Daphnia pulex: one gene and its partner. The protein of the gene in region 1 binds, or shares a complex with, the protein of each later gene. Links are inferred from orthologs where the notes say so. Each region holds a gene or a part of one and is shown in the gene's direction. Other genes may lie near its edges.

Region 1 (6,475 bases):
GGATGTCAACATGAACTGGAGCTCTCAGATGATCCTTATGATACCAAGAGACTAAACACAGAGAACATTCCTTGTGTACTGACTTTGATGAAGGTTTGTAGGTTAAAACTTTGAATTTGAAATAAATAGTCTAATACTAAGTTTTCAGGAGGTGGTGTCCTGGTGGCACGTTGCGAACATGACGCTGTCACCGTTGGATCGGCTGGTGATAACCAATTTATCAACATCAAAGCTCTTAATGAATGGGACTCAAGGGTATGCATATTTACTGTTCGTAATGAAACTGTGTCTTTAAAATAATTTTGTACTTCAAGTTGTCTGGTGAAGTCGAATGGCGCCAGAAACTGGACACTCAGCGAGGTGCTGTTCAGGCCAACGAGCTGAAGAATAATGCATGCAAGCTAGCAAAATGGACTGTGCAAGCTCTGCTCGCCAACTCTGATTGGATTAAATTCGGGTATGTGAAGGCTCCTGTTGTCCTTCGAACATTATTGTAACTAATATTGTTTGCTTCAGATATGTTTCACGTATGCACTTACGAGATACATCGCGTCGTGTAATCCTTGGAACACAGCAGTTCCACCTGTCAGATTTCGCATCGCAAATCAACCTTAATATCGACAATGCTTGGGGCATTCTCCGTTGGATTAATGATTTGTGTATGAAGGAAGAGGATGGCAAATATTTGTTGGTGAAGGATCCTAACAAGCCCGTCATCCGCCTTTACAAGGTGCCCGATAACACGTTTGAGAGCGACGATGAAGCATTTTTCGGAGAAGGAGAAGGTTTGAAACCAATCAATATCGTAACGTGCGTGTGTAACTGCTGGCTTACTTTTATTGCTTGGGTGTTGGCCTCTCTTTTTTTTTACTAGCAAAGATTAAATAAACACGTCCAAGCAGTTAATCAAATTTCCCTACATTTGTACGCCGTGTTACGTTTTGCTTGAATTCGAAGCTCGAGCTTTGTATTTATGTATAATATCTAACCACTAGTGGAAGTGCTTGGCTTCTTGGGGGAAAAAAACCTAATTAGATATGCGACATGACTTAAGGTAGTTTTAAAAAAAGCGCTATAAAACGCATGATTTCATAACGACAACTACGAAATGGTAAATAACAATGTATTCATTTTTTACACATGAATAGAAGACGAGTAACGGCTGATAGAAACAAAAGAACAGCTCTTCCACTAATTCCCCAATCTACAACAATACTACGTTTGTAATGATCGTTACATGGAATAAAGCACTTATGAAGCTTCCAGTTTACTTATACAGCGTTACTTTGATTGATTTCATCAAAAACATACCCTTATTTGTCTTGAGCGAGATTGATGTCTTCAGGTGGGTTACTGCAGTGAACAACAATTATGATGTTCGTTTCAGTCATCGGGTAAGCAAGCCAACGAATATCTTGACCGATCCCGTGAACTTCCTTTTCAGTAGATTCAGCAAATCTTTTCACAATTGAATTAGGGGTAGCACCTGATATGGGCTCGACTTTTAGCATAACCATATTCGTCTCTACGGTATATCGATCAACTTCCACAACGCTTTTTCCAACCTCTTGCGCAGTAACAGCCAATTGACCAATTGTTTGGTGAAAATATGATCTTGAGCTACCCTGGTAGGTCCCTTTGAAAGTGACAAAATTCCGGCTGCGGCCAAAATACCCGCCTGCCGCATTCCTCCTCCAAGTGCTTTTCGACAACGATGAGCCTGAGTATGAGTGTTATTGAATACCTCCAGTTCATGTTGATATCCATCCATGGTTGATATTTTAATAGATGGAATTTATGTTGCATAAAGGGCCGATTTCACAGCAAATGACACTGCATCATAAGGGTTCTCTCCACATTCATGATCTATTTTAATGCCATTAAAATGATTCATGAGAAATTGTTGATTGGTGGAAAAATGAGAAATTGATGATTGGTGGAAATATTGACAAATTCCCCCCAAAAAACCTAAACCCCGTGAAAAAAACACCCTATCGGGAAACTCGCGCGCGAAGCAAGGGATCGGCATGTGTACACACTACGAACGGTGCGATGGTTTAGCCTAGCATGTGGCGCCACGACAATTTAATTTATCATTAGATCAATTAAAGCTATAATTAGGATTAAAATATAAAATTCATAACAAATACAAAATAAATAATAGAATGTAATAGCTAGTTGAATCTTGCTTTTGCCAATGGTGTTAATAAAAAAATCTTTAAGACTACTTTCTTACTAGGTACATTAGAAGTTTAATTCATAAATGATCCAATTATTAGAAAAAAACATTGGTGAAAATATATTTTTTTGTTATCTTATTAGTTATTACAAGAAATTAACTAGCTTAGCGCTTAGCGGCCTTAGCCTATGTCGCTTGTCAGTTGTCTCTCAGCCCAAGCCATGTTCTTCAGTTACTGATTATTCAAATCATAAGGCAGTAACAGTTTTACCCTGCAGGCGACAGCACTTGTATTCCTCAAACTTTCGTTGGCACCAACGGGCAACGGCGTTCTCAGTTTTCTTCTGATCGCGTGGCGAAATCAAACTAAACGCAAATTTGGGTAAAGTTCGAAGAAGATATGAAATTTATGAACATCAATAGTTTTATAGCGAGTTCTGTAACTTTGTGTGTGAAATTAAGTTTTTTATTTTACTTGCGTTGGTATTTGAGTATGCCGGTACATCGAATTGTTCTTATCAAAAATCATCTGCATTTTCGGCCATATTGCCACTTAGTTGGCAGTACTTTTACTTATTAGTTGATTAATTGATGCTTAATATTATAAAACATTAAACTAAAGTTTCCTCTTTTTTTTCTCCATAGCTTAAGAAGTAGGTCACCAACCTGTACCATGGGGGACAGTGATGATGATTATGATCGTCGCAGAAGGGATAAGTTTAGAGGAGAACGAAGTGAGTACCGGGGAGCTGGAGAATCTGGAAGGAGAGAAGAAAGAGGCAATCCTAGGAGAGAAGAGTGGAATGATAGGTTGGTTTGACAAATGCTCTGTTATTTTTAAGCTGTTTAGTCCAATGCATGTTTCAAAGTAGAGGCATCATGGAACCGAGAAGAGGTGAATCTTGGTCTCAAAGAGGGTCTCGTTCTCAACCACGTCACGAATATCGCGAATCTTACAGAGGTCGTGAAAGATACAGCCCAGCAGGTGGGTATGATGCACCACAAGCTCCAAAAAGGATGAGGCCTGACTGGTATGTTTTTCATACTAATATTATGCTGCCATTTATTAATCTTGTAAAATGGTTTTAGGGAAGACAGGCGCTATGGATTTGATGCTGGTTATGGGCCCAACATTGGCTCTTCATGGGGTCAGAATGAACCAGTCATTAATACTCCACCAAACGCTGGAAACTTTAGTGGATCTTCTTCAAGGTAATGTTTTTATGGTAATTGTTAGTTGTGTAGGGTTAATAATAATAATAAATAATGCCTGATTTTCCAGAGGGGAAGAATTTCCTACTCAACCACCAATGATGTCCTTTAAAGCTTTTCTGGCTGCCCACGATGATTCAATCTCTGACGAAGAAGCAGTTAAAAAGTATGCCGAGTACAAGCTAGAATTTCGTCGTCAGCAGCTGAATGAATTTTTCACAAGCCACAAGGATGAAGAGTGGTATGTTTTTGCTTGTTTTTTTTCTTGTTTTTACAAGTGTTAATATCAAATTTAATCAATATTTTAAGAATTTCTTATAAGTTTTCTTTTAAAGACTTGTGTGTTGTGTATTGCATTGAATTTTTCTGGTAACTAAATTATTTATAAGTTTTGCCGCGTGTAATCGGATTTCGGATAACCAATTTACATATATTTAATCCCCCCTGTTTTTCAGCCGATTGACATAGCTGCTATTGACGTCCCTCCGTTTATTTCAACCATCTCCGACCTTTCTATAAGGTGCCATACCATCTGTCAAAAGCTACTTGAAAATCAATTTTTTAACTGTGTGAACATGAAATGAACAGATCTCCAAAGTGTGCGTTAGAGTAGGGTTCAACTGCGCGCAATGCAGTGGTCAGTTAGTAGCTAGGTTATAAAAAATCCGTACCGGGAGAACAGGTGAGGGAAATCTTGGCCTCTTGAAAAGTGTGGTCCCTAGCTGGTTATTTTAATTCGAAGTTTTCAACATTAATTCTGTTACTAATTTGTTTTATTATATTTTCCTCGAACGAATGTAGGTTTAAGTTGAAATATCACCCGGAAGAGAATCAAAAACGGAAGAACGAGCATAAAGCTCATATTGAAGTAAGTTGTCTCTAATTTTGACAGATTCTGGTTGTAACTAATCAATTAATTCAATATAGTTACGCATGAAAACTATTTTGGATTTAATGGCTGAGGGTTCTTTTGATCAAGTGACTATCGATGCGGATCAGTCAGAAAAGCTAGTAAAACTTCTTGACACCGTGGTAATTAAACTCGAAGGTGGGAATGAGTTAGATCTTCAGGTCCTTGACAACCCTCCTCAACCAACCGCCGATAAGGTTTGTCTATTTAATTTCCTTTAATTGGTTATAACTGATTTTTTAAAAATCATTTCACTTTCATAATTGAAGCAGCCTATTAAAATCCAAGAGAAGGTTATCAAGGAGATTGAAGATAAAGAAAATGATGATTTGGGCGAAGGCGACGATGCTAAAGAAGATGGTGTGATCGAGGACTCCAAAATGGAAATTAGCTCTGACCCAAAAAGTCCTAATAACAGTAGGAATTCATTGTTATTAATTTTTGACGCACTGCCTTACCAGTATTTTTTATATTTATTTTATAGGTGGCAAAAGAAAACGAAGCGGATTTGAATCGGATAGTGGAAGCGACTGGGAGCGGGAAGGAAAGGAACAATCGGAAATATCTGAAGCTCCTCAAAGCCCTGATGGTAAGCCAGCTGGTGGTGAGGGTAGTCCTAGGGAAACCGAAGCAGCTGATGAAATTCCAGTAAAAGATGATGCCAAAGAAAAAGTTGATGAAGATGAAAGCAAGGAGGAAGAAAAAAAGGAAAATGGCGGGCCAGTTCTTCCCCGAGAATTGCATCGGACTGCCTCCATATTTCTCCGTAATTTGGCACCTACCATTACCAAACTGGAAGTCGAAGCGGTAATGAGAGTTTCTAATTTTTTTTGTTAGATTCAGTTTTCTAATCTTTAGCTTTGTTTAATGAAGATGTGCAAACGGTATCCTGGATTTTTACGTGCTGCTATTGCTGATCCTCAGCCAGAACGCAGATGGTTTCGCCGTGGTTGGGTGACGTTTGAGCGCAATGTTAACATCAAAGAGATTTGTTGGAATTTGAACAACATTCGAGTATGTTTCTATAAGTAACAATTAATTACTGTATGACTAATGGGTAATATTAACTGTTTTTTTTTTTTTTTTTTTTTTTTTAAATTTTTAGCTACGTGACACCGAATTGGGAGCCATTGTGAACCGGGATCTAAGTCGTCGCATCCGTACCGTTAGTGGCATAACATCGCATAAACAAGTTGTGAGGAACGACATTCGTTTAGCAGCCAAAATCATCCAAAACTTAGATGCACGTTTGGGACTATGGGCTGAGGAAGAGAATGATAAAGCTAAACATTCTTCGGTCGCTGATTCTACACTTACTTTCTCTGGCACCAGTCGCAACCCGGTTCTGAACAACATAACCGATTTTTTGATCGAAGAAGCTTCTGCTGAAGAGGAAGAGCTCTTGGGTGCCTCAGCTAATGAAGAAGGCGAAGAAGCTGAAGCAGCTGCAGGATTGACTAGAGACGACGAACTTATTAAAGTGCTGGATCGTCTGCTCTTCTACTTGCGTATTGTTCACTCGGTTGATTACTACAATCATTGCGAATATCCGAATGAAGATGAAATGCCGAACCGATGTGGCATTATGCATGCTCGTGGAATTCCTCCGTCATCCAAAGTAATATCGCCTGTGCGAAAGCATAAATTTAAAAAGAATGTTGTTTTTTTAGTTGAAACATGTATTTATTCGGAATGTAGGTTACCCAAAATGAAATCAATGACTATTGTCGATCTTTCGAGAATAAGATTGCATCATTTCTGGAGCCAATCAAACGGCTAAGTGATGAAGAAGCGAGTAAATTGGGTTTGAAAGAATCGAAAGCGTAAGGAATTCTTTTTTATTACTTTTTCTTGCGACATTTTACATAATTATACATTTTGTTTCAGCGAGGTCGAAAAGTTCGTTGCTGCCAACACACAGGAACTTGCCAAAGACAAATGGCTATGCCCTCTATCTGGCAAAAAGTTTAAGGGTCCGGATTTCGTTCGCAAACATGTTTTTAACAAACATGCTGAAAAGATTGATGAGGTGCGAAAGGATGTTGAATATTTCAACAACTACTTGCGTGACCCTAAAAGGCCGCAATTGCCCGAGCATCCTGGAAATCGAGCTGCCGGGGTGAGACCATCGCCAATGAATGAGTCCCAAAGAGGCGAGCATTTCGGTCCACCTG
Region 2 (4,904 bases), on another chromosome or scaffold:
TTCGACGCTCAATCTATTACCTGGTGATCAAATCTGGTTGCAAATAGATTCCTTGTTGCCTCCGTTGATTGGCGACGGTACTGCAGCCCGTCGTAAAAGGCGAATGCTTCCGACAAAGGGAGTGATTTTATTCGACGATTATCGCCACTTTACTCATTTTACTGGATTGATGTTGGAGGAGGACATTTCACAATCGCTTTAATTTCTTTTCTTATTTTTAACTGATGCATTTAAAACAATTAAATTTTGCCTGTTACCTACAAACTTTTTCAGCAGAGACCTTCTTGTTAATACATATGTATTCTTTAGGATTGTAATGACCACAACAATCTTGAGGATCAATAGGATTGGTAGATTACGATAACAAAATTAGAGAACACCGTTCACGCTTCGATGGTTCACGAGAGAGTAAACAAACAAAAACGTAAAGATTATCAAAAGGACGTCGGTGTGTGTATTGCGCCTCCATATCATGAGCCTCTTTGTTTGCTTTTTAAATTCTCTTTCTATTGCCAGCAATCGAATGCCAATAACTTCACCTGTCTTCGACAATGTCTTCCTTGAAAATCACCGACAACAAAGTACGGCAATACTCGGCTTCCTCCTATCAAATGAAAATTCAAAGTTTAAAATTCGATTTCATTTTCAAGTATTGACTAATAATTATTACCAGACATTCGTCGCGATCTCCGATTAATTCGATGCGGTTGTCGAGAAATTCACGAAAGAGAAACTCTGATCTACGGCACTCCTCGATCGATGGGGGGTGGCTCTGGGTAAGTGCCAGCAAGGCGGCCAGTAGATGTTCGTGAGTCGAGTCGTGATCTCGTTGAAGCAGAGCCACAAACTGCTCCACAAATCCCATATTACATAAAGTATCTAGTAAACAGGGTATTGGTTAGAGTACAAATGGAGAAACTTATGAATGTGAATAAAACCTTTGAAGGATGGATTCTCATTGCATAAACAAGTCAACAAGAATGAAGCCTTGATTTTCAGTTTCCCGAGTGATGATTGCAGTGCTCTCAGTAAAGACGAGAAACCATCACAATGCACAAATGCATCCTGGGCTTCTGCACATTCTCTTGTCAAACCTATAATCAATCAATTGTTAACTGAATTCCCTTAGTGTGAGTTGTAAATCTGCTCATTACATGAAATGGCGTACAGGGCTTTGATTCTCGCCTCTTCACAGTCATCGTTTTCCAGCATTTTAAGCAAAATTGGCAATAGGTCTTCGTTGAGCACATGCTGTTGGCAGTATGGGTTGTTCTGGGTGAGGGTGCCAATCAACTGACAGCACCTCCAACGAACTCCATCGTGGGGAGAATTCAAACAGGGGATGAGGATGAAAAATCCTCCTATCTTGTGAAAGTCTGGAGAAACAAGCGAAACAAGTGTCAATGTTTTATTCAATCAATAAAAAAAGATATCTCATACCATTAGCCGTGTCCATGGAATCGGCAAAGTCAGTAATCATTTCCAATGCTTCCTCCATCTCCTGGGGATCTTCTTCAGGACTTTCGACTCGATCTGGATTGAGGATATTTAACGATTTTGATATTTCGGCTACAACGTCGACTGACAATCCTCTTAGAGCTTCTTCTAACCAGCGTCTCCTTTCTTCACTCATCGATGTGGTTGTGGTACGATCTTCAGCTGCGGTGCCTTCGATGGCAAATCTTAAAAGTCCTTGCATATCTCTTGGTTGTCGTGGGGGTTCCATTGTTTTGCTAAGGATCTCAACAACAACTTGTTATATATTTATGAAGAATAAGACGCAGTACGCAAGTTAAACCGTGAACGCATGGGGCAAGCAGACGTCAATGAAACTGTTTACTAGCAAAATCAAGAAGAGTCTGGAATAAAAAGAGCCATCTAGGCATGACTCGCATAACTTAAAAAATTTTGACATTTACAAAACAAACCTGTTAAGTTAATTAAGATTTGGATAAAATTCATTGAGATTTTAAAAAATTATTGAAAAAATCTGCGAAAGTGTGTCATATTTTTATTTGGTTTTTAATTGTAGTTTAACGCCGGAATGGGTTTCTAGCAAGTGACGTAACCTAGCGGCCGCCATAAGCATCTTTTCGAAAGTCACTCGCGTCAGGTTTGTTGTGTCAACGCACACTTTTTTTTAGAAAAAAACCACACCAATTTTAGTAATTTAAAACGCATAAAGTTTAGCCGGTTGATTGGCTGAATACAAGGACACTTAATTCGGAAGACACTGGGGTGAACGGTGTGATTGGTTCTCCCGAAATAATTCGTAGAAATGGCGGTTCCAAGCACATACCGAGACCAACATTTCAAAGTAAGCCTCATGAGTTGATAGCAGAATTGAAAATGTAACTTAATATACAGTTTTGAGGCAATTAATGTTTAAATGGAAATGCATACCTTAATAATTAAAAATATTTTGATATTTCAAGCCAAAATAACTGATTTCCATCTTTCAGGGTTCCCGGGTAGAGCAGGAGCGTCTGTTGAGTCAATCTTGCACCCTGTATGTTGGAAACTTGTCCTTTTACACAACTGAAGAACAGGTTAAATACTTCCAAGTCAACAATTGGTTCCATTTGATTTCATCTTTTCAAATATTTTAGATCCATGAATTGTTTGGGAAATGTGGCGATGTCAAGAGAATCATCATGGGATTGGACAAGTTTACTAGGACCCCTTGTGGATTTTGTTTTGTAGAGTAAGTCATTGCAACCAAATCCAATAACAAAATTGTGTTTAATTATTTCTAATTATCTTTCAAGGTTTTACCTGAGGAATGATTCAGAAAATGCCATCAGGTTTGTGAATGGGACAAGACTGGATGACAGAATTGTGAGAACTGACTGGGATGCTGGCTTCATTGAAGGAAGGCAATATGGCAGAGGCAAAACTGGAGGACAGGTCAGCATTTCGTCAGCTCAAACTTATTGTTCTCAACTAATGGATTTCTGTTTTGCAGGTGAGAGATGAATACCGAACTGACTTTGATGGTGGCAGAGGAGGATGGGGCAAAATGATTCAGCAGAAGGTGGCCACATCTGCTGCTGCTAACAATTGATAACATTTCTAAATACTGTATTCATTCATCTCTGTGTGTTTTTTTTTTTAACAAATGTCAACAAGTGTTATCCTCAATTAAAACAGACCATGCTGAATTGATTTCCTAAACAAAATCTTTTTTACCTGTGAAAGAAGACGTTTCTCGTCATGTTTCCATCTGCCAGTCCGGTTGGCCTGGATTTTATCGATCGAAAAGTGGGGACACTAGAATCTCTTGCCATGTGATCTGTCACTCCCAAAGCTTTTTCCTTTTCAAAGCGAAGCGGGTAGTTTCCCAGAAGAGCTTTTGCGGCCGCGTGATGCACGCCATCATCTACATGCAAAGAAATATTTGAATATTCAATTCCCAGTGGTCGTCTGCAACTTATAACGAATGTCACAATTGAATTTGTGTCAAATGTGAAGCTAATTCAATGATCATTGATCAATTAGATGATTTCCAAAATGGAAATGGTATCGATTTCTGATTGCTCGGTAGTTGTTTAGTTATTCCAAATTAAAACTAACTTATTTATCGTTCGAAGAAAGAATGTGCTTGACGTGACATTCAACGTGCATCTGAACTACCAGGAAAATTGTACTGAGTGAGTGTGTGTGTATCTGGTGTTGGCTGTTTGAATATTTCTGGGCGACGGCAATCGAGTTCTCTCCCACTGCTGCAGCCGCTGGAAGCATTCATGTCCGCGTGCCGATCCGCGTGCTCCGCCGTGAGGCTATAGCGGGACTGGTGCATGTTGGCTGGCTGCTGTACCCACCGCCCAGCACTACAGATGTTGCTTATTCAAATATTGACGTAAAACTCACGTGGAGCGACATGAACATTGCCCAGCACCTGTTGTATAATCTTCATCTTCCTCCTGGTGGCCATGCCAACAAAACGGGGCTGTTTCCCCCCCTGCGAATATCCGTTTATACATCATTTAATTCCCTCTGTTTGAAACTAGTGTAGGAGCAGGTATTGTGTCTGGCCGTTAAGTTATCGATTGGTTGGTATATTAGGTGTCGTTGACGGCCAACTGCGCATTTGGCGAAAACGATATCAAACGATACGAGTATTATAACGTCGTCTATTTATTTTTCAATTACACTTTGACAATGGCGTGAACGCCTTCAATGCCCGGCAACTTGTAGAAGGACAAAAGCAATTGGCTTTTCTTGATTTAGGACGGGCGTACGTAGTACAACTATAATATAATACGAAGCGGATGAAGCCAAATAATTGATTCCAGACGACGAAGACGTAATAGTAATAGAGCGACGAATGCGTCGCCCATTCTGGATATCAATCAACGACTTGTGACGCCGGTATGTAACACACACTGGATCGATATAATCGAAATGCGCATTGACATGGAATTATTCGCCGTATTGGTAAAATGTTGTTGTTTGGAATGATTTTGGCGAAGCGAAAGAATATCTAATAATAATGATATCGCTAACTGCTGGGCAATCTGATGGGCTAATAGGGTGCCCATATGCGCACGTGGCGAAATAGGGATCTGCCTCGTGCTCTTTTGTGTGTGTGCAGTCAACGCCGGATGGGTGTGCAAGATTGGTGCATTTATAATTGGCTTTCGCCTATTCACAGCAGCACATCAGCAGATCTACTAATGGACGGAGGCAAATCGGAAATTCACAGCATCCGCCGTGTTGTCATTCGACACCACCCACGTTGGTAGTCACATGTGTTATTACTCACGGTTCATTGGGTTATACCCTCGACTATCAAATTTGACGTAAACACGGTCTATCAAATTAACTGGCGATTATACAACATCCGATCAATCGAAAAATGTTCCGCCCAGGTATGTTCATTGGCCTCATCCGCCTTTATTCTC

What was found. The genes of interacting proteins can lie anywhere in the genome.
Region 2: the proteins of serrate RNA effector molecule homolog (region 1) and nuclear cap-binding protein subunit 2-like are in contact, whole or in part, in a cryo-EM structure (PDB 8PMP), measured with the Homo sapiens proteins. The link is inferred for Daphnia pulex from reciprocal best matches to the Homo sapiens genes SRRT and NCBP2. Residues at the interface, in NP_056992.4 of Homo sapiens: Asp857, Arg859, Ala860, Ile861, Val862, Glu863, Tyr864, Arg865, Ala869, Asp874; in NP_031388.2 of Homo sapiens: Ser48, Phe49, Tyr50, Thr51, Thr52, Glu53, Gln55, Lys67, Met71, Leu73, Met76, Lys77, Lys78, Thr79, Ala80, Tyr89, Asp107, Glu121.

Annotation. Positions count from the first base shown.
Region 1 is NC_060024.1:617,271-623,745, forward strand, and holds the start of serrate RNA effector molecule homolog, read left to right. Parts: upstream 1-2,403; 5' UTR 2,404-2,561; exon of another isoform or gene 2,562-2,678; intron 2,679-2,824; 5' UTR 2,825-2,852; coding exon 2,853-2,989; intron 2,990-3,048; coding exon 3,049-3,210; intron 3,211-3,268; coding exon 3,269-3,391; intron 3,392-3,461; coding exon 3,462-3,632; intron 3,633-4,192; coding exon 4,193-4,259; intron 4,260-4,318; coding exon 4,319-4,498; intron 4,499-4,570; coding exon 4,571-4,718; intron 4,719-4,785; coding exon 4,786-5,108; intron 5,109-5,174; coding exon 5,175-5,315; intron 5,316-5,406; coding exon 5,407-5,919; intron 5,920-5,999; coding exon 6,000-6,124; intron 6,125-6,188; coding exon 6,189-6,475. Other genes in the region: eukaryotic translation initiation factor 3 subunit D-like, read left to right, coding at 49-93, 149-255, 315-457, 517-874; uncharacterized protein R102.4-like, read right to left, coding at 1,314-1,458, 1,566-1,771. UniProt on the Homo sapiens protein: Acts as a mediator between the cap-binding complex (CBC) and the primary microRNAs (miRNAs) processing machinery during cell proliferation.
Region 2 is NC_060026.1:16,275,824-16,280,727, forward strand, and holds nuclear cap-binding protein subunit 2-like, read left to right. Parts: upstream 1-2,082; 5' UTR 2,083-2,278; coding exon 2,279-2,317; intron 2,318-2,462; coding exon 2,463-2,549; intron 2,550-2,609; coding exon 2,610-2,704; intron 2,705-2,768; coding exon 2,769-2,907; intron 2,908-2,965; coding exon 2,966-3,064; 3' UTR 3,065-3,161; downstream 3,162-4,904. Other genes in the region: hsp70-binding protein 1-like, read right to left, coding at 536-604, 671-879, 939-1,094, 1,155-1,376, 1,441-1,726. UniProt on the Homo sapiens protein: Component of the cap-binding complex (CBC), which binds co-transcriptionally to the 5' cap of pre-mRNAs and is involved in various processes such as pre-mRNA splicing, translation regulation, nonsense-mediated mRNA decay, RNA-mediated gene silencing (RNAi) by microRNAs (miRNAs) and mRNA export.